3 linked regions of the Saccharomyces cerevisiae S288C genome follow. Changing the gene in region 1 together with any one later gene gives a genetic interaction. Each region holds a gene or a part of one and is shown in the gene's direction. Other genes may lie near its edges.

Region 1 (7,664 bases):
ATCAAAAGAAAGCGGAGTTGGGTACTCTCTCACCATCTTCCTACATGACAATAGGTTAATTATACTTCTAATGCAAATATTGTAGACATCAGGGATAGTGATAGAACTTGGATTTCTAACAAGGCCAGCGGTAACATTTTCGTTGAATTTTTTATCAAACCAAAGTAGGGAAGTATTTAAATTCACCCTTTTAGAGGCTATAAGAGTGTTGAAATACTGTTTCTCAAATTCTACAGCATTACTTAACAGAGCTGGCCTTAGTATTCTTATTTGATGATTGGCAATATCCAATTTCATTGTTTCCAAAATTTGAAAAACCAACCTTAAACCTTCTATTAACCTTGTTAAAGAAGAGTCTCTTTCAGCTTCTTTAAATTTGTTGCTCATTTTATCCACCCATGGGTCCCTCATGGGGGCACAATGATGTTTAAATAAATCAGCCAACCAGCCTGACAAGTTAGACATTATCAGAGAACCTTTCAATAGTTCTTGAATGTTCAATTCTGTGTCCAGTACATTATTTATCATCGGAGACTCTTTTTGTGGGACTATCGTTAACAATACATCCCTTAAAGTGTCAAAAAGTGGGACTAGTCTTGACCTGTTATATTGGAATATTTCAGGCCTCTTAGAGTAAACATAAATTTCATTTTGAACATCATTCCAATAGATATTCGCCAATTGTCTTTTTTTATTCCCTCTTTCGCCATCAAGATTTGGCCTGAATTGTAGTAGCGGGTCGAATATTATATCATGTCTTAGTTGTGGGTTTTTCAGAATTTCCTGTAAGTCAATCTCTTTTAAGCCCTGCAAATTTATAGGAGGAAATGGAACAGGCGTTGGAGTAGCCTTTATGTAGTTTATTCTATCTTCCAAAGTTAAGTCAAAGTTTGAGCTTGATAGGAAGCTTTGATTTGTCATTGAAGTGGCAGTGGAATTATTAATGTTGTCATTATTAGCGTTAGTGCTTGCGTTACCTGATATTTGTTGATTTAAAAAAATTGCGCGCTTTAATGAAAGAGGGTTTGAACTGAGAGGATTATTAGAATGCAAATATGGTTGATGATGGTTTCTAGAAAATTTTTTCTTTGATATGCCGGAAGGAGTTGGATGATTTAAAAGAATATTTTGATTACGATAGTATTGATTGTGGGATGATAATTTTCTTAAAGAAGAATGCAAAATAGTGGGTACGGAATGCGACCTCATTTTTTTATTTGAAAAGATCCTTAAAAAGTTAGAAGCATTTCCTGGTGGCTGTTGTTGTGCTGCTTGTTCTTTGTGTGGTTCCGTTGCTGGTGGCAATTGCGGCGCGGATGCAGACGGTGGTTGCTTTGACGACGGTGGTGGGGAGGGAGATGGATTGTTGATATTAGTATAAATATTCTTTGGGGGTATCGAATCAACTTTATTGTTCCTCCTTATTTCTTCTTCATTATCATCGTTTTTCAAGAATTGACCAGTCTTGGTGTCGAACGTCTTGAATATAGTATTGTCCCTGTCTATAGGGATCTTCAAATCACTACTATTAGCTGAATTGCCACTGCTATCGTTGTTAGTGGCGTTAGTGCTTGCATTCAAAGACATGGAGGGCGTTATTACGCCGGAGCTCCTCGACAGCAGATCTGATGACTGGTCAATATATTTTTGCATTGAGGCTCTGTTTGGAATTATATTTTGAGATGACCCATCTAATGTACTGGTATCACCAGATTTCATGTCGTTTTTTAAAGCGGCTGCTTGAGTCTTAGCAATAGCGTCACCATCTGGTGAATCCTTTGAAGGAACCACTGACGAAGGTTTGGACAGTGACGAAGAGGATCTTTCCTGCTTTGAATTAGTCGCGCTGGGAGCAGATGACGAGTTGGTGGAGCTGGGGGCAGGATTGCTGGCCGTCGTGGGTCCTGAATGGGTCCTTGGCTGGTCCATCTCTATTCTGAAAACGGAAGAGGAGTAGGGAATATTACTGGCTGAAAATAAGTCTTGAATGAACGTATACGCGTATATTTCTACCAATCTCTCAACACTGAGTAATGGTAGTTATAAGAAAGAGACCGAGTTAGGGACAGTTAGAGGCGGTGGAGATATTCCTTATGGCATGTCTGGCGATGATAAAACTTTTCAAACGGCAGCCCCGATCTAAAAGAGCTGACAGGGAAATGGTCAGAAAAAGAAACGTGCACCCGCCCGTCTGGACGCGCCGCTCACCCGCACGGCAGAGACCAATCAGTAAAAATCAACGGTTAACGACATTACTATATATATAATATAGGAAGCATTTAATAGAACAGCATCGTAATATATGTGTACTTTGCAGTTATGACGCCAGATGGCAGTAGTGGAAGATATTCTTTATTGAAAAATAGCTTGTCACCTTACGTACAATCTTGATCCGGAGCTTTTCTTTTTTTGCCGATTAAGAATTCGGTCGAAAAAAGAAAAGGAGAGGGCCAAGAGGGAGGGCATTGGTGACTATTGAGCACGTGAGTATACGTGATTAAGCACACAAAGGCAGCTTGGAGTATGTCTGTTATTAATTTCACAGGTAGTTCTGGTCCATTGGTGAAAGTTTGCGGCTTGCAGAGCACAGAGGCCGCAGAATGTGCTCTAGATTCCGATGCTGACTTGCTGGGTATTATATGTGTGCCCAATAGAAAGAGAACAATTGACCCGGTTATTGCAAGGAAAATTTCAAGTCTTGTAAAAGCATATAAAAATAGTTCAGGCACTCCGAAATACTTGGTTGGCGTGTTTCGTAATCAACCTAAGGAGGATGTTTTGGCTCTGGTCAATGATTACGGCATTGATATCGTCCAACTGCATGGAGATGAGTCGTGGCAAGAATACCAAGAGTTCCTCGGTTTGCCAGTTATTAAAAGACTCGTATTTCCAAAAGACTGCAACATACTACTCAGTGCAGCTTCACAGAAACCTCATTCGTTTATTCCCTTGTTTGATTCAGAAGCAGGTGGGACAGGTGAACTTTTGGATTGGAACTCGATTTCTGACTGGGTTGGAAGGCAAGAGAGCCCCGAAAGCTTACATTTTATGTTAGCTGGTGGACTGACGCCAGAAAATGTTGGTGATGCGCTTAGATTAAATGGCGTTATTGGTGTTGATGTAAGCGGAGGTGTGGAGACAAATGGTGTAAAAGACTCTAACAAAATAGCAAATTTCGTCAAAAATGCTAAGAAATAGGTTATTACTGAGTAGTATTTATTTAAGTATTGTTTGTGCACTTGCCTGCAGGCCTTTTGAAAAGCAAGCATAAAAGATCTAAACATAAAATCTGTAAAATAACAAGATGTAAAGATAATGCTAAATCATTTGGCTTTTTGATTGATTGTACAGGAAAATATACATCGCAGGGGGTTGACTTTTACCATTTCACCGCAATGGAATCAAACTTGTTGAAGAGAATGTTCACAGGCGCATACGCTACAATGACCCGATTCTTGCTAGCCTTTTCTCGGTCTTGCAAACAACCGCCGGCAGCTTAGTATATAAATACACATGTACATACCTCTCTCCGTATCCTCGTAATCATTTTCTTGTATTTATCGTCTTTTCGCTGTAAAAACTTTATCACACTTATCTCAAATACACTTATTAACCGCTTTTACTATTATCTTCTACGCTGACAGTAATATCAAACAGTGACACATATTAAACACAGTGGTTTCTTTGCATAAACACCATCAGCCTCAAGTCGTCAAGTAAAGATTTCGTGTTCATGCAGATAGATAACAATCTATATGTTGATAATTAGCGTTGCCTCATCAATGCGAGATCCGTTTAACCGGACCCTAGTGCACTTACCCCACGTTCGGTCCACTGTGTGCCGAACATGCTCCTTCACTATTTTAACATGTGGAATTCTTGAAAGAATGAAATCGCCATGCCAAGCCATCACACGGTCTTTTATGCAATTGATTGACCGCCTGCAACACATAGGCAGTAAAATTTTTACTGAAACGTATATAATCATCATAAGCGACAAGTGAGGCAACACCTTTGTTACCACATTGACAACCCCAGGTATTCATACTTCCTATTAGCGGAATCAGGAGTGCAAAAAGAGAAAATAAAAGTAAAAAGGTAGGGCAACACATAGTATGAATACAAACGTTCCAATATTCAGTTCTCCGGTCAGAGATTTACCAAGGTCTTTCGAACAAAAACATTTAGCGGTTGTAGATGCATTTTTCCAAACATACCATGTCAAACCTGATTTTATCGCTAGGTCTCCTGGCAGAGTAAATCTGATTGGTGAGCATATAGATTATTGCGATTTTTCAGTTTTGCCATTAGCCATTGATGTGGATATGCTTTGCGCAGTTAAAATTTTAGACGAAAAAAATCCATCCATTACCTTAACAAATGCGGACCCTAAATTTGCTCAGCGAAAGTTTGATCTGCCTTTAGATGGTTCCTACATGGCCATAGATCCGTCTGTGTCGGAATGGTCGAATTACTTTAAATGCGGACTACATGTGGCACATTCATACTTGAAAAAAATTGCTCCGGAAAGATTTAATAATACACCCTTAGTAGGTGCGCAGATCTTTTGCCAGAGCGATATTCCTACTGGTGGTGGACTCTCATCTGCATTTACTTGCGCGGCAGCACTAGCCACAATTAGAGCCAATATGGGAAAAAATTTTGATATTTCCAAAAAAGACTTGACCCGCATCACAGCGGTTGCTGAGCACTATGTTGGAGTCAATAATGGTGGTATGGATCAAGCAACGTCTGTTTATGGGGAAGAAGATCATGCTCTATACGTAGAGTTTAGGCCAAAACTAAAGGCCACACCTTTCAAGTTTCCTCAATTGAAAAATCATGAAATCAGTTTCGTCATCGCCAATACTCTTGTAAAGTCTAATAAATTCGAAACTGCTCCTACAAATTACAATTTAAGAGTAATAGAGGTAACAGTTGCTGCCAACGCCTTGGCGACCAGATACAGCGTGGCCTTACCATCTCACAAGGACAATTCTAACTCAGAAAGAGGGAATCTAAGAGATTTTATGGATGCTTACTACGCCAGATACGAAAACCAAGCCCAACCATGGAATGGAGATATCGGAACTGGTATTGAACGTTTACTCAAGATGCTACAATTGGTAGAAGAATCTTTCTCGAGGAAAAAGAGCGGATTCACTGTACATGAAGCCTCTACGGCGCTAAACTGTTCACGTGAGGAGTTCACTAGAGATTACCTGACAACTTTTCCCGTCCGCTTCCAAGTCTTGAAACTATATCAAAGAGCTAAACACGTTTACTCCGAATCCTTAAGGGTGCTTAAGGCTTTAAAAATGATGACAAGTGCCACTTTTCACACGGACGAAGATTTCTTTACAGATTTTGGCCGACTAATGAATGAGTCCCAGGCCTCTTGTGATAAACTTTATGAATGTTCGTGCATAGAAACCAATCAAATATGCTCGATTGCCCTAGCAAATGGTTCTTTCGGCTCCCGTCTCACTGGCGCTGGTTGGGGCGGTTGCACTATCCACCTTGTTCCTAGTGGCGCTAATGGGAACGTGGAACAGGTACGAAAAGCACTAATCGAAAAATTCTACAATGTAAGATATCCGGATCTCACAGATGAAGAACTAAAAGACGCAATTATAGTTTCGAAGCCTGCCTTGGGTACTTGTTTGTACGAACAATAACACTAAACACCTTCTTGGAACAACCTTTAAATATTAAAAGTTTACTCATACCTCTTACACTCTATAAAGAAACAAGTTGGTGAGTCCAATAGAACCCATTCCAGCATCCGATGCAACCATAGCCCGGTTGATGCGAGTCAGAGTGGCTCCGCACACAGAGGTTATGTGACCATGGTAACCGTACACATTTTTCCACGGCAAGGAAGTGGCGCGAAAGAAGCACCGCCCTCCACGGATCACCCCATTTGGAAAAGAACGGAGACATAAAAAAAAATTACCTTCACGCCAGACTATGTATGACTCGTAGAAATCTAGCATCCGCGGAGCTATTTTAAGTTTCCGCGGATGCCTTTCGATCCTTTCCCAGTCGTCTGGTTCCGCGCACATATGACTAAATGTCCGCCCATTTCCGTTTAAATCCGTTTTCTATTTTCTTTAGGTCTTTCCATTGTATTCCCTGCAACCCCGCTGGGTATTGGTATTACTAATAGTGACTACGCAACATCAACATATAAAACAAATGATGAGTAGTGCCCCTCCCTCACCGCTATCGCCTCACCACTTTTTATGCTTGTATATGCTTGTAGATAAATAAATACCTAACGAAAACAATATATACGAACCTAGTGTATTTGTATCTTTTGTTTTTCAAGTTGAAGTGTTGCGAGGTCAAAAAAAAAAAAGCTCACTGTAGGATATAGGAGTTACTATATCACCAGTGCATTACATTCTCAGTGCATCCATCGTCTTCAACATTGATTATTTTCTCCTTCCATTGATTAGAGTTCAAGCTCCCTGAGAAAACGAAGGTATAGCGGACGTACCCGCAGAGACATAAAAAAAGAAAAACTATATCGAAGACCGAAAGCAGTAAAAAAGTGGATAGAATAACACAGCTACCAAAATACGTAAAGAGAATTCAATGAGCAATATCAAAAGCACGCAAGATAGCTCTCATAATGCTGTCGCTAGAAGCTCAAGCGCTTCTTTTGCAGCTTCAGAAGAATCATTTACGGGCATAACCCATGACAAAGATGAGCAGAGCGATACCCCGGCGGATAAACTAACAAAAATGCTGACAGGACCTGCAAGAGACACTGCGAGCCAGATTAGTGCCACTGTGTCTGAAATGGCGCCAGATGTCGTATCTAAAGTGGAGTCATTTGCAGATGCACTATCCCGTCATACAACGAGAAGCGGTGCCTTTAATATGGATTCAGATAGTGACGATGGGTTCGATGCCCATGCCATCTTTGAAAGTTTTGTAAGAGACGCTGATGAGCAAGGCATCCATATCCGCAAGGCTGGTGTTACCATAGAGGACGTAAGCGCTAAAGGTGTGGATGCGAGTGCCCTAGAAGGTGCTACCTTTGGTAACATTCTTTGTTTACCGTTGACCATCTTTAAAGGTATTAAGGCTAAGAGGCATCAAAAGATGAGACAGATCATAAGCAATGTCAATGCCCTGGCAGAAGCGGGTGAAATGATTTTGGTTCTTGGAAGGCCTGGTGCTGGTTGTTCCTCCTTTTTAAAAGTAACAGCTGGTGAAATAGATCAGTTTGCCGGTGGTGTTTCCGGTGAAGTAGCATATGATGGTATTCCCCAAGAAGAAATGATGAAACGATATAAAGCAGATGTTATTTACAATGGTGAGTTGGATGTTCATTTCCCTTATTTAACAGTTAAGCAAACTTTGGATTTCGCTATTGCCTGCAAAACGCCTGCTCTCAGAGTCAATAACGTTTCCAAAAAGGAATACATTGCATCCAGAAGAGATTTATATGCAACCATTTTCGGTCTAAGGCATACCTATAATACCAAAGTTGGTAACGATTTCGTTAGAGGTGTATCTGGTGGTGAACGTAAGCGTGTTTCCATTGCCGAGGCTTTGGCAGCCAAAGGTTCCATTTACTGTTGGGATAATGCCACTAGAGGTTTGGATGCGTCTACGGCCTTAGAATACGCAAAAGCCATCCGTATTATGAC
Region 2 (7,318 bases), on another chromosome or scaffold:
CATAGGTGCATGTTTATGTTTTTAAATGCTTATACATTTGCAATATAATTATATATATATAGATGTTTAAGAACGGAATGATGCTTCGCCGCCCAAAATACCTAGTACCTTTAGTTCCTATCAAAGGATTAATCTTTTTTTATTTTGAATTTTTTTTATCGAATATAAAAGAAATAAGTAAGAATTAGTAAAATTATCATAAATAAAAATTTTTCGAAAAGTTTATTCTCACTTAATCAATTAATTAATCGTCGTGCTCGATGTGCCTGTTGACAACAGGATTCCAGAATAATGTCTTATCACCGTCACCCCAGAAAAAAGGCTTAGACCTGATATTCATAAACTCGTAATCCCTTGGCCATTCGGAGTCTGGCACATGTTTCAAATGTTCACGATGCTCAGCATGCTCCTTTTCAACAAAGTATGTGTTCACAGCTGTTAAAGCAATTGCTGGTAGGGCGACCCAAACTGAGATTTTAACCCACATATTAGATGTGTCCTTCGCATGCTTTTCAGTGGCCATTAATGATTCTTTAAATTTTTGAGCTGCCACTTTATCTGGTGGGCCAAATGCAGGTTTCAAAGCATTTGGGGGTAATGAAGATGCATATCTCTTAGCACACTGTCTAAACATTTTTCTATTGTTTGTTATTTGTATAACTGTAGAACTGTAGTAATATGATTTTAAATCTAGATAAAACACATGCGATGTGTAGTGAAAACGTTCAAGGCAACGTGTATGTTTGTTATATTTAATGTATCCCGTCACTCATCGTGATCACATCCCAGCTGGGGGTTATTTTTCGATTCTCTTAGACCGATACTCCCAGTACCGCCTCTCATTGGTGGGAAAAAAAATTACCCGAAATTACTATATTGTGTCAATACCGCACCATATCACTACATTCATAGCGGTATAATCGAAAGGATAGCGGCGTTGGGTTACTACTATCGTCTACCTATTCAGCAGGATAGCTTACTCTGTATTAGCAAATAATAGTCGTTCTTCGCTATTCCCACAGTTTCCAGTAAGAACGATTGGAGTAGAAAAAAAGAATGGTAGAATGCGCCATGGGAAAGAACCGACCAAGAGTGGGAGCAAATAAGTCAAGTAATTACATTAGTAGTGTTTAATGGTTGAAAATATGGCCAGAACTAGTATTAGCTTTCTCCAGGCGACAACAATTTTTAAACATCCGGGTAATAAATTGTTCCAGTTGATGTAAAAAAATACACGGACTCGGATAATAATTATTGGACATAAACCATATCCTTCTCTATTCCAAAGTTTGTCTAATACAGACCAGGAAACCATTTACTTCCCGCTGCAGTCTTTTTTATGACCATCTTTTTTATGCAATGCTATTAATGTTTAAAAGGATTATTTAACGCTTTACTGAGCAAAATATAGGTTATTTAGTGTTTGGAATTGTTGTTTTTGTTGCTGTTTGGATTCAAAGGGAGTATGTTTTTGATTCATAGGATTCTGCTTGGCCTCAGCATAATACTTACCACTCCCCATATCCATATTATTCCAATACTGCTGCTGATGCTGCTGCTGTAATTTTGAAGGTTGCTTTTTGTCGATTTTTTTAGTACCAGTGTGGCTGGTTCCAGTTTTGCTCTTCATAAACTCCTGGTACTTCCTCTCGACATCCATTTCGTAAATGCAATTTCCTGTCAACTGGTTTCCGATGGTAAACCAGCCAGGCCGCGTATTGTGATCCCTTCCGAATATCTCTAGTTTTCTGGCATGGGTGCCTGCCAACCGTTCTGCTATACCATACAGTTCATCAGGCTTTCTACTAGTCTCTCTGGTCATTGATACGATCAAATCGACGTCAATATGTTTGTTGATCCACTTTGGATTACCCTTTAAGCCCACCAATAAATGCTCCTTAGAATGATTTAACCAATGACCCGTACGACCTGTAACAATTGTTCTACCCAGTTGGTTTGTCTTTATCCATGAAACTTCATTTATCACGTTGTAACCCCAGTTATTCAAAGACTCTTTACCCAATTCTATAGCTCTACCCGTCACCCAAAGAAAAATAATACCTTCATCTTGTAGTTCGTGCAAAGGCAAACCTAATAGTTCAATATCGTTGCAAGTACCGTATGGTAGGTTCATATGGATATTCCATGCAGGATCTGCAATAACTACCGAAAACTTTCCAAGAACCCTAAAATCAAATTTCCGCACATCGCAACGGATCCACTGTGCAGGTAAAGCCTTTTTGATACAATGTGCGGAGCAATTGCCCAGAGTATAAAATGGAATGGAAACGTTTGACCGTATTCTTTTATTTTCACTCGCAGTTTCACGATCAGCTCGCTCTTGCAAGCATGACGGAATATATTGCAGGTAATGAATGTATCGACACGTATTTAATTTATGACAGGTATCCAAATAGGAACAATCTCCTAACGAAATATCAGTTTGTGGTTTGATATTAGGGATAAAGTGAATTTTTGATTGAATGCACTCAATTAATCCTGGGTGATTTTCCTGACATGCGGATATTTTGGACCATTGTAAAGAAACGATTTTGTTATTGACAATGTACACCGAGGTGGACAATAGAGATGCATGCGAATAGTCACTACATATCGGGATGTATTCAATGACCTCGGTCGTGTATTTGGCTCTTTCTTTAGCAAGCTGAAAAGATGATGGTTTTTCCCTCAATAAATTTTGTAAGCGATTGCTCAGTTGTTCACGTGGTAACCCCTGGTTGCTGACGTTAACGTCCCAGTTCAGGACTCCAAGCAGTCTACCCAGCAGTTGGTCTTTTTCCGAATCAGCTTCCGGTTTTGTTGTTAAACTCGACACTTTTTCTTCACATGAAGAACTGGACGATTTTAATGTATAGTAGAAGGCATGGAACTTGTTATAGAGAATTTTCAAGGAAAAAACGTCCAGGTAAACAATTTTTTCTGGCCTATCTGCCACTAATAGATTCTGGTCAAATTGAATGGACTGCGGCGTTGCAAATATAATATCCTGAAGATCATTCCAAAACTGTTCAAACTGTAAGACCTCGTCTTTATCGTTTCTCAACTTCTGCATCTCATCATCGTATCCGCCACTGATGTACAGTGAATACACATCTTTGAGCTGTCCAGAAAGCGGTGCTCTTAGGATGTCATCATAATTCTGGATCAGAAAATGTACTAGTTTATCGTTAATCATAGCCTGCTTACAACTTTTATGAATTCAAGTCTGAATGCCAATTCTTATTTTTTTCGAAAACCCCCAATGCTAACTTATATGGTCCGTTTTCTTTACTGTTATCCATCTCCCTTTCCTATAGCTCCAGCGGTTACCGATCTTCCAGAATGCCGGGGAGATCTTTCTCTTTCTTTGTTTATAACAAGTTTCACAAGCACGAAAGAAAGAACAATACTGTACGCCAAAAGCCGCCTAAAGACGCATATTCCCGTCAATTTATGTGACCGGTACCACTATATACCTAAGGCACCTCTATACCAATGTAGAATGCCCTGTTTATACTCTATATAGAGGATTCTCGATGTTCTTTGGGGCATCGTTAAACGTGATATTCCTACTATGTTACTAAATGTTGAACTGAAAGCATCTTGAAACGATTCTAATCAGTTTTAGGTGTGTCGCCAATGTACAGTTATAGAAAAGACGCCAGATTACTCAAGTACGTTAAAATCAGGTATCAAGTGAATAACAACACGCAACATGTCTGGAACATTTAGTTATGATGTGAAAACAAAGGAGAACGAACCATTATTTGAGTTTAATTCTGCTTATTCTCCCAGGGTATCGTATCATTTTAACTCCAAAGTTTCACATTACCATTATGGTGTTAAGCATCCAATGAAGCCGTTTCGGTTAATGCTAACGGATCACCTAGTTTCCTCTTATGGATTGCACAAGATTATGGACCTTTATGAAACAAGAAGCGCTACCAGAGACGAATTACTACAATTTCACTCGGAAGACTACGTGAATTTTCTCTCGAAGGTTTCACCAGAAAATGCAAACAAACTGCCCAGAGGCACACTTGAAAATTTTAACATTGGAGACGACTGTCCTATTTTTCAAAATTTATATGATTATACAACACTATACACTGGTGCGAGCCTTGACGCCACCAGGAAACTAATCAACAATCAATCGGACATAGCGATAAATTGGTCTGGTGGTCTTCATCATGCAAAAAAGAATAGTCCATCTGGGTTTTGCTATGTAAATGATATTGTGCTTTCTATTTTGAACTTATTACGATATCACCCAAGAATCCTTTATATCGATATCGACTTACATCACGGCGATGGTGTCCAGGAGGCATTTTACACCACAGATAGGGTCTTCACGTTGTCTTTTCATAAATATAATGGCGAATTTTTCCCAGGAACTGGTGATCTGACAGAAATTGGTTGCGACAAAGGAAAACATTTCGCATTAAATGTACCCCTAGAAGATGGCATAGATGACGACTCATATATAAACCTTTTCAAGTCAATTGTAGATCCTCTAATAATGACTTTCAAACCAACACTTATTGTCCAACAATGCGGTGCGGATTCCTTAGGTCATGATCGCTTAGGATGCTTCAATTTAAATATAAAGGCACATGGAGAATGCGTAAAATTTGTCAAATCATTTGGTCTACCAATGCTAGTAGTGGGCGGTGGAGGTTATACACCTAGAAATGTATCACGGCTTTGGACCTACGAGACAGGAATTTTAAATGATGTCTTGCTACCAGAAGACATCCCCGAAGATATCCCATTCCGGGACTCATTCGGGCCGGATTATTCACTTTATCCTATGTTAGATGACTTATACGAAAACAAAAACAGTAAAAAACTACTGGAAGACATTAGAATACGATGTCTAGAAAATATCAGATACTTGCAAGGAGCACCAAGTGTCAGAATGGATGCTGAATGCATACCGACACAAGATATAAGTGCCCTGACAGAAGAAGAGGATAAAATCATTCAAGAAATGAATGAAGAAACAGAAGCAGACAGTTCAAATAGGCTAGAAGAAATGGAAAAAGAAAACAGTGGATTGATTGCCTTTTCATAGTTTAAGAGTTTGCTATTCGGTTAATCTCCCGTTTTTTTTTTTTTTTTTTTTTTTATTTTCCTTTTTTTTTTTTTAATGTTTTTAGCATATTATGTAGAGTGTTAAGGCCTTAAAAGTTATTTGCATCATTGTTAAAAATGACATGTATTGTATAAGAGTTCGGCTCTTCGATGCCGTCAGAAACATTTTTGGAAGGTGCACTCCGTATTCGAGACACTTCTGAAACGGACAAGTCACCAAACTACTCTGAAAACAACAAAAAAAAGCCTTTTCTTATAATTTGAAAGCTTCTCCCGCAGCATTATCGATATCGTGAAACTTCCAAAATCTTTCTTAATTAAACCGGACATCAGTGTCTACAACATTAGAGCAAGTCACTCAGTTCATGTAATACATCTGGACAATTATGTCTAATAAAGAGATAACTTGTATCAAACCGTTTAAAATTATTGCTCTAATTTTATTGATAGTTCTAATAATAAACCTCTCTTATAAGTTATTTCTGAGACGCTATTTAAAGTCGACAGTTATTTGGTGTTTAGGAATCGCCAATACAGATCGTAACGATATGATGTGGTGGCAAGTCTCGCCACTATTAGAGCGCTGGGTTTGGCAGTTAGTTGACAATTATGAATCCGGGTACGAATAATTATCAAGCCCTTATTAGCTACAATGCTGGGAGCAATAGATATATAAATAACCCTTATGCACAGCGGAAGACTTCAAAATATCTTTGTCTTTTATATCATTATGTGGTATGTATTATATAACGAGAATAATATATCAAATACAAAAAGTAACGAGGTTACCACATTGAATTTTCTTCAAATATCAGTGGTTAATTCAACACCTCCGACAGCCCATATTTCTCTTTCATCTTCAAATCTGTCACTAAACATTGTTTCCGCGTCTCCTCCGGCAGCAATCCTTTCTCTTTCGACATTTGCTAACCTTTTACCAACCCTCTTGGTATAGTCCCCAACAGACCGTAATTGAATTGTAGTACCTGTGACAGTTTCGATGCTGTTACCGCGATCTGAAATTTTAGCAAACCACTCGTTGAAAGTATGCATGTCATCTTCTTCAACCAATTTGAACAAAGCTAAATATGCTTTTTCTGCTGCGAGCTTAATTGGGATAACAGGATCACGCAAGCAAGAAAATACAGATGGTCCTACTACATCGAAGTATTGCTTAATGCACTCGTCAAATTTGAATCTGGCTAGTGTTCTTATAACCACCAAGGCCAACCTTCTTACATCCGTAGAATTACTGGCTGGTTGTAAGACAGCTTTGCTCAACTCATTAATTAACAGATTGATGTTTTCATCGCCAATTTTGAATGGTTCTGCAGCATCCTTTTTAACAAATGGAGACCTCTTTTCTCCTTCTAATAAAAGTAATTTACCAGCAGCAATGGTACCATTTTCTCCGAAGTAAACATCAGGGGAACGGATTGCATTCAAAATGTAACTTACAAATTCGTCTATCAAGCCCGTATTGAATATATGTGTTGGTGCATCTTTCAAAAAGGAATTCAAAGTCAGAATAGCAAACTTACCGGTTTCTCCATCTAGATCTGCATTCAAAACCTTGTCTTGCAATATCTTGTGGGCTTCGTCGTTCGACAAAATCTCTGATAACGATCCGATTAATTTAGCGTAAGCAACTGCCAATTTGTCATTGCTACCCAACATTTCTTCCTCAACTAAATTGACAATGTTTGTCTTAGAATTTTCGTTTAATTTGGAACCAGCCTTCATAATAACTTCCAGTAAAGCTTTAAGCATCGCAGTCTTGACACCTTCATCTGTGGCTTGCTTGGCACCTGTCACCAGTTCAATGACTAGAGGGTCAACACGAGGCTGATGTTCAATCAGGGCACCAAGAGCCTTTGCGGCGCGGAGACGTAACGTTTCATTGGTAGCGTCAGACAAGGATTTAACAAATGTTCTTTGTAATTGAGGGATAAAAGGCCTCAAGAACATTGGAATCTTAATGAATAGCACATTAAGTGCAAATAAAATTGCTGCTTTGATATCACTACTAAATCTTTCACCCACGACACGAATTAATGGACCAGTAATTACGCTCACAAATGGCTTCAAGTTAGCGGCAGGGGTCTTCGAAACAACGTCAGCAATGGCTAATGCAGATTCTTCCCTTTCATCATTCGAACCATACATCAAACCATGCAAGAAAATAGGCAAAACACAGTTAGGGCCTCTTGGAAGCTTAAATGCA
Region 3 (8,397 bases), on another chromosome or scaffold:
ACAACCCATTAGTGATCTTAGAAAAGCCCACGAAAAGGCAGAGCCATGAGGTTGTACATCGGTTAAAGATCCTAAGGCAATACGCCCGTGAGCTCTTCTGATAGCCCAAATTAAGAAACCAAAAGAAGCAAACGGAACCAAGACGGCTTTAACAGTAAACAGGTGTCTAATTTTGTGAGGTGGAACCAGTAAAAATGGAAGACTGGCAGCCCAAAAGATAAAAAAACACATGAACTCGTAAGTAGTAGCATTCGGTGATCCAAAGTGATCTGGGATTTTGTCTTGTAAATCTTTTCCAAAGATAGATTTCAGCATTAATGATACGGGAGTTGCCGCAATATAAGCTTGGACACTATACCAAACGATGGCCATGACGACTCTGTTAATAACGGGCCATAAAGAGAAGAAAATACCGAATGATGCTCTAGATGATATAGGGAATGACAAATGATAAGCAGATCCAACTCTAGAGGCCAAAACAACAAAAGCACCAACGAAACCGTACCCAATCCAAATTGTTATCCAACACTGCCACCAATTTAGACCCAGTTGTAGACCTGTAGCTGCAATTTGCCAAGTGTTGATATTGAAACATTCAGCAAGCCAGAAGTAACAATAATTGTACCAGGACCAAACCCGCCTTTCTTTTTCGACGGGCTTCAAGTCCTGGTTGTACATAAATGAATCCAGAATAGAAACACCCAAGATTGATTTGTCAACGACCACATATTCATAATAGATTTTCTTCCAGAATGAGCTGTATTGAGGTTTTTCTGAGCTTACTTTTTCTTCAAAGCTCGATGCCTCATAAACTTCGGTAGTTATATTACTCTGAGATGACTTATACTCTTTTTCCAAATCCACATTATTTGGCGCAAAGGTCTCATTGGAAGATTCCATAAGTTGGCGAGAGTTCAATCTTTTTGAAGAGCCGCTTAAATGTAATGATAGATTGTCTGGCATTATTCCCTCCTATTCTTATTATGCGTAGGAATGTCTTCGAACCGAAAGATCTTCTCTATGGGGTATGCTTTAGAGTGAAATTAAGAAAGGAGTTTTATACAGATGATACCTAATCATCATATAAGTAAGAGAGAACAGAGATTTAATGGAAAATGGAAAAGGGCAAATTGGCGCTGAATCAAATAGTTTATTATATCTTTACAATTTGTCCTGATTTTGTCCTTGTCTAACTTGAAAATTTTTCATTCTGATGTCATACGACTTTTTTCCGGTCTAGGAAATCGGTGAAAGCTTTTTTTTTTTCCTATCTTCTTGTCCATCGGAATTTTTCTGTCATTTCTTTTCCTCCTCGCGCTTGTCTACTAAAATCTGAATTGTCCAAATTCAGTACAAAATTAATCAGTAGGACAAAGGGTTCTCGTAGAGTCCCCGGAAAAAAAAAAGGACAAAAAGTTTCAAGACGGCAATCTCTTTTTACTGCATCTCGTCAGTTGGCAACTTGCCAAGAACTTCGCAAATGACTTTGACATATGATAAGACGTCAACTGCCCCACGTACAATAACAAAATGGTAGTCATATCATGTCAAGAATAGGTATCCAAAACGCAGCGGTTGAAAGCATATCAAGAATTTTGTCCCTGTGTTTTAAAGTTTGTGGATAATCGAAATCTCTTACATTGAAAACATTATCATACAATCATTTATTAAGTAGTTGAAGCATGTATGAACTATAAAAGTGTTACTACTCGTTATTATTGCGTATTTTGTGATGCTAAAGTTATGAGTAGAAAAAAATGAGAAGTTGTTCTGAACAAAGTAAAAAAAAGAAGTATACTTATAATTCATATAGACAGCTGCCCAATGCTGGTTTAGAGACGATGATAGCATTTTCTAGCTCAGCATCAGTGATCTTAGGGTACTTGACCTTGTAGAACTCATTGGCAAGGGCTTCTTTTACCTTTTCTATGTTGCCATTTGGGCCCCCTGGAACCAAGTGAACAGTACAACCACCCCAGCCAGCTCCGGTCAAACGGGAACCATATGATCCATTTGACAAAGCAATGGAACAAATTTTGTCAATCTCTGGACAAGAACATTCGTAAAGTTTATCGCAAGAAGCTTGAGACTCGTTCATCAAGGCACCAAATTGCTTGAAAAAGTCTTCGTCGGCAGTAAAGCTCGCTGTAGTCATTAATTTCACAGCCTTCAAGACTCTTAAAGATTCAGAATACACATGCTTAGCCCTCTGATATAGCTTTAAGACTTGAAATCTCACTGGAGATGTTGTTAAGTAGTCTCTTGTGAATTCTTCGCGAGAACAATTCAAGGATTGTGCGACATCGTCAACACTAAAGCCCTGTTTCTTATTGGCGAGAGACTCTTCAACTAGTACTAGCATCTTTGTTAACCGTTCGATGCCGGATTCAATATCGCCGTTCCAGGGTGTGGAAATGTTGTGATATCTGGCATAATAAACGTTCATGAAATCTCTTAGATTACCTTTATTCGTGCTCGATCCTTCTTTTCCAGAAAGTAAAACAACACCGTACGTGGCAGCTAAAACATTTGCAGCTGTAGTGACTTCTACCACTCTTAAATTATAGTTGGTTGGGGCGGTTTCAAACTTGTTAGATACAACAAGGGTGTTCGCAATAACAAAGCTAATTTCATGGTTTTTTAATTGCGGAAATTTAAACGGAGTAGCCTTCAACTGCGGTTTGAACTCAACGTATAGAGCATGATCTTCCTCACCGCAAACAGAGGCAGCCTGATCCATACCGCCATTGTTAACACCAACATAATGTTCTGCAACGACCGTAATACGCATTAAATTTTGCTTGGACATATGATAACCAGGGCCCATATTCGCTTTAACAACAGCTAAAGCAACGGCACAAATGAATGCGGCCGAAGAAGACAATCCACTGCCAGTTGGTACATCACCCTCACAGAAGACTTGCAGCCCGGCCAGAGGAGCACTGGCAAACCTTTCCGGTGCAAGTTTCTTTAGAAAAGAGTGAGCAACATGGAGACCACATTTAAAGTAATTAGACCAGTCCGACACAGAAGGATCAATTGTGACATAAGAACCGTCCAACGGCAAATCGAACTTCCTTTGAGCAAATTTGGGATCAGCATTTATTAAGGTAATGGATGGATTTTTCTCGTTCAAAACTTTGACGGCGCAAAGCATATCAAAATCAATAGCTAAAGGTAAAACCGAGAAGTCACAATAATCAATATGTTCACCAATTAGATTGACTCTACCAGGCGATCTAGCAACAAAATCCGGTTTAGCATCATAAGCGCTTATAAATTTCTTAATTATGCTCGGGCACTTTTCGGCCAATGGTCTTGGTAATTCCTTTGCGCTAGAATTGAACTCAGGTACAATCACTTCTTCTGAATGAGATTTAGTCATTATAGTTTTTTCTCCTTGACGTTAAAGTATAGAGGTATATTAACAATTTTTTGTTGATACTTTTATGACATTTGAATAAGAAGTAATACAAACTGAAAATGTTGAAAGTATTAGTTAAAGTGGTTATGCAGCTTTTCCATTTATATATCTGTTAATAGATCAAAAATCATCGCTTCGCTGATTAATTACCCCAGAAATAAGGCTAAAAAACTAATCGCATTATCATCCTATGGTTGTTAATTTGATTCGTTAATTTGAAGGTTTGTGGGGCCAGGTTACTGCCAATTTTTCCTCTTCATAACCATAAAAGCTAGTATTGTAGAATCTTTATTGTTCGGAGCAGTGCGGCGCGAGGCACATCTGCGTTTCAGGAACGCGACCGGTGAAGACGAGGACGCACGGAGGAGAGTCTTCCGTCGGAGGGCTGTCGCCCGCTCGGCGGCTTCTAATCCGTACTTCAATATAGCAATGAGCAGTTAAGCGTATTACTGAAAGTTCCAAAGAGAAGGTTTTTTTAGGCTAAGATAATGGGGCTCTTTACATTTCCACAACATATAAGTAAGATTAGATATGGATATGTATATGGTGGTAATGCCATGTAATATGATTATTAAACTTCTTTGCGTCCATCCAAAAAAAAAGTAAGAATTTTTGAAAATTCAATATAAATGACAGCTCAGTTACAAAGTGAAAGTACTTCTAAAATTGTTTTGGTTACAGGTGGTGCTGGATACATTGGTTCACACACTGTGGTAGAGCTAATTGAGAATGGATATGACTGTGTTGTTGCTGATAACCTGTCGAATTCAACTTATGATTCTGTAGCCAGGTTAGAGGTCTTGACCAAGCATCACATTCCCTTCTATGAGGTTGATTTGTGTGACCGAAAAGGTCTGGAAAAGGTTTTCAAAGAATATAAAATTGATTCGGTAATTCACTTTGCTGGTTTAAAGGCTGTAGGTGAATCTACACAAATCCCGCTGAGATACTATCACAATAACATTTTGGGAACTGTCGTTTTATTAGAGTTAATGCAACAATACAACGTTTCCAAATTTGTTTTTTCATCTTCTGCTACTGTCTATGGTGATGCTACGAGATTCCCAAATATGATTCCTATCCCAGAAGAATGTCCCTTAGGGCCTACTAATCCGTATGGTCATACGAAATACGCCATTGAGAATATCTTGAATGATCTTTACAATAGCGACAAAAAAAGTTGGAAGTTTGCTATCTTGCGTTATTTTAACCCAATTGGCGCACATCCCTCTGGATTAATCGGAGAAGATCCGCTAGGTATACCAAACAATTTGTTGCCATATATGGCTCAAGTAGCTGTTGGTAGGCGCGAGAAGCTTTACATCTTCGGAGACGATTATGATTCCAGAGATGGTACCCCGATCAGGGATTATATCCACGTAGTTGATCTAGCAAAAGGTCATATTGCAGCCCTGCAATACCTAGAGGCCTACAATGAAAATGAAGGTTTGTGTCGTGAGTGGAACTTGGGTTCCGGTAAAGGTTCTACAGTTTTTGAAGTTTATCATGCATTCTGCAAAGCTTCTGGTATTGATCTTCCATACAAAGTTACGGGCAGAAGAGCAGGTGATGTTTTGAACTTGACGGCTAAACCAGATAGGGCCAAACGCGAACTGAAATGGCAGACCGAGTTGCAGGTTGAAGACTCCTGCAAGGATTTATGGAAATGGACTACTGAGAATCCTTTTGGTTACCAGTTAAGGGGTGTCGAGGCCAGATTTTCCGCTGAAGATATGCGTTATGACGCAAGATTTGTGACTATTGGTGCCGGCACCAGATTTCAAGCCACGTTTGCCAATTTGGGCGCCAGCATTGTTGACCTGAAAGTGAACGGACAATCAGTTGTTCTTGGCTATGAAAATGAGGAAGGGTATTTGAATCCTGATAGTGCTTATATAGGCGCCACGATCGGCAGGTATGCTAATCGTATTTCGAAGGGTAAGTTTAGTTTATGCAACAAAGACTATCAGTTAACCGTTAATAACGGCGTTAATGCGAATCATAGTAGTATCGGTTCTTTCCACAGAAAAAGATTTTTGGGACCCATCATTCAAAATCCTTCAAAGGATGTTTTTACCGCCGAGTACATGCTGATAGATAATGAGAAGGACACCGAATTTCCAGGTGATCTATTGGTAACCATACAGTATACTGTGAACGTTGCCCAAAAAAGTTTGGAAATGGTATATAAAGGTAAATTGACTGCTGGTGAAGCGACGCCAATAAATTTAACAAATCATAGTTATTTCAATCTGAACAAGCCATATGGAGACACTATTGAGGGTACGGAGATTATGGTGCGTTCAAAAAAATCTGTTGATGTCGACAAAAACATGATTCCTACGGGTAATATCGTCGATAGAGAAATTGCTACCTTTAACTCTACAAAGCCAACGGTCTTAGGCCCCAAAAATCCCCAGTTTGATTGTTGTTTTGTGGTGGATGAAAATGCTAAGCCAAGTCAAATCAATACTCTAAACAATGAATTGACGCTTATTGTCAAGGCTTTTCATCCCGATTCCAATATTACATTAGAAGTTTTAAGTACAGAGCCAACTTATCAATTTTATACCGGTGATTTCTTGTCTGCTGGTTACGAAGCAAGACAAGGTTTTGCAATTGAGCCTGGTAGATACATTGATGCTATCAATCAAGAGAACTGGAAAGATTGTGTAACCTTGAAAAACGGTGAAACTTACGGGTCCAAGATTGTCTACAGATTTTCCTGATTTGCCAGCTTACTATCCTTCTTGAAAATATGCACTCTATATCTTTTAGTTCTTAATTGCAACACATAGATTTGCTGTATAACGAATTTTATGCTATTTTTTAAATTTGGAGTTCAGTGATAAAAGTGTCACAGCGAATTTCCTCACATGTAGGGACCGAATTGTTTACAAGTTCTCTGTACCACCATGGAGACATCAAAAATTGAAAATCTATGGAAAGATATGGACGGTAGCAACAAGAATATAGCACGAGCCGCGGAGTTCATTTCGTTACTTTTGATATCACTCACAACTATTGCGAAGCGCTTCAGTGAAAAAATCATAAGGAAAAGTTGTAAATATTATTGGTAGTATTCGTTTGGTAAAGTAGAGGGGGTAATTTTTCCCCTTTATTTTGTTCATACATTCTTAAATTGCTTTGCCTCTCCTTTTGGAAAGCTATACTTCGGAGCACTGTTGAGCGAAGGCTCATTAGATATATTTTCTGTCATTTTCCTTAACCCAAAAATAAGGGAAAGGGTCCAAAAAGCGCTCGGACAACTGTTGACCGTGATCCGAAGGACTGGCTATACAGTGTTCACAAAATAGCCAAGCTGAAAATAATGTGTAGCTATGTTCAGTTAGTTTGGCTAGCAAAGATATAAAAGCAGGTCGGAAATATTTATGGGCATTATTATGCAGAGCATCAACATGATAAAAAAAAACAGTTGAATATTCCCTCAAAAATGACTGCTGAAGAATTTGATTTTTCTAGCCATTCCCATAGACGTTACAATCCACTAACCGATTCATGGATCTTAGTTTCTCCACACAGAGCTAAAAGACCTTGGTTAGGTCAACAGGAGGCTGCTTACAAGCCCACAGCTCCATTGTATGATCCAAAATGCTATCTATGTCCTGGTAACAAAAGAGCTACTGGTAACCTAAACCCAAGATATGAATCAACGTATATTTTCCCCAATGATTATGCTGCCGTTAGGCTCGATCAACCTATTTTACCACAGAATGATTCCAATGAGGATAATCTTAAAAATAGGCTGCTTAAAGTGCAATCTGTGAGAGGCAATTGTTTCGTCATATGTTTTAGCCCCAATCATAATCTAACCATTCCACAAATGAAACAATCAGATCTGGTTCATATTGTTAATTCTTGGCAAGCATTGACTGACGATCTCTCCAGAGAAGCAAGAGAAAATCATAAGCCTTTCAAATATGTCCAAATATTTGAAAACAAAGGTACAGCCATGGGTTGTTCCAACTTACATCCACATGGCCAAGCTTGGTGCTTAGAATCCATCCCTAGTGAAGTTTCGCAAGAATTGAAATCTTTTGATAAATATAAACGTGAACACAATACTGATTTGTTTGCCGATTACGTCAAATTAGAATCAAGAGAGAAGTCAAGAGTCGTAGTGGAGAATGAATCCTTTATTGTTGTTGTTCCATACTGGGCCATCTGGCCATTTGAGACCTTGGTCATTTCAAAGAAGAAGCTTGCCTCAATTAGCCAATTTAACCAAATGGTGAAGGAGGACCTCGCCTCGATTTTAAAGCAACTAACTATTAAGTATGATAATTTATTTGAAACGAGTTTCCCATACTCAATGGGTATCCATCAGGCTCCTTTGAATGCGACTGGTGATGAATTGAGTAATAGTTGGTTTCACATGCATTTCTACCCACCTTTACTGAGATCAGCTACTGTTCGGAAATTCTTGGTTGGTTTTGAATTGTTAGGTGAGCCTCAAAGAGATTTAACTTCGGAACAAGCTGCTGAAAAACTAAGAAATTTAGATGGTCAGATTCATTATCTACAAAGACTGTAAAAAGAAAGTGGAATATTCATTCATATCATATTTTTTCTATTAACTGCCTGGTTTCTTTTAAATTTTTTATTGGTTGTCGACTTGAACGGAGTGACAATATATATATATATATATTTAATAATGACATCATTATCTGTAAATCTGATTCTTAATGCTATTCTAGTTATGTAAGAGTGGTCCTTTCCATAAAAAAAAAAAAAAAGAAAAAAGAATTTTAGGAATACAATGCAGCTTGTAAGTAAAATCTGGAATATTCATATCGCCACAACTTCTTATGCTTATAAAAGCACTAATGCCTGAATTTATGTTGAAAATATGTGTCACAAATAAAGAAACTGTGACATCTGACACATTTCCACTTTATTGACAAGAATAGAATTTCTTTAAGTTTCCCCTCTAGATTATTTATTTTCAAATT

What was found. A genetic interaction does not mean that the proteins touch.
Region 2: mutations in GAL3 (region 1) and HOS2 together harm fitness less than expected from each alone (positive genetic interaction), as found in Saccharomyces cerevisiae (3 studies listed by BioGRID, with this or other methods).
Region 3: of GAL3 (region 1) and GAL10, changing one enhances a phenotype caused by changing the other (phenotypic enhancement), as found in Saccharomyces cerevisiae (2 studies listed by BioGRID, with this or other methods).

What each region holds. Positions count from the first base shown.
Region 1 is NC_001136.10:459,319-466,982, forward strand, and holds GAL3 (transcriptional regulator GAL3), read left to right. Parts: upstream 1-4,115; coding exon 4,116-5,678; downstream 5,679-7,664. Other genes in the region: SOK1 (Sok1p), read right to left, coding at 1-1,929; phosphoribosylanthranilate isomerase TRP1, read left to right, coding at 2,524-3,198; YDR010C (uncharacterized protein), read right to left, coding at 5,733-6,065; ATP-binding cassette transporter SNQ2, read left to right, coding at 6,601-7,664.
Region 2 is NC_001139.9:138,124-145,441, reverse strand, and holds HOS2 (histone deacetylase HOS2), read left to right. Parts: upstream 1-3,715; coding exon 3,716-5,074; downstream 5,075-7,318. Other genes in the region: COX13 (cytochrome c oxidase subunit VIa), read right to left, coding at 245-634; IME4 (mRNA (N6-adenosine)-methyltransferase), read right to left, coding at 1,394-3,196; YGL193C (uncharacterized protein), read left to right, coding at 3,215-3,526; YGL194C-A (uncharacterized protein), read left to right, coding at 5,481-5,723; GCN1 (Gcn1p), read right to left, coding at 5,899-7,318.
Region 3 is NC_001134.8:274,009-282,405, reverse strand, and holds GAL10 (bifunctional UDP-glucose 4-epimerase/aldose 1-epimerase), read left to right. Parts: upstream 1-4,053; coding exon 4,054-6,153; downstream 6,154-8,397. Other genes in the region: FUR4 (uracil permease), read right to left, coding at 1-963; GAL1 (galactokinase), read right to left, coding at 1,799-3,385; GAL7 (UDP-glucose:hexose-1-phosphate uridylyltransferase), read left to right, coding at 6,879-7,979. UniProt on the Saccharomyces cerevisiae protein: Mutarotase converts alpha-aldose to the beta-anomer. It is active on D-glucose, L-arabinose, D-xylose, D-galactose, maltose and lactose.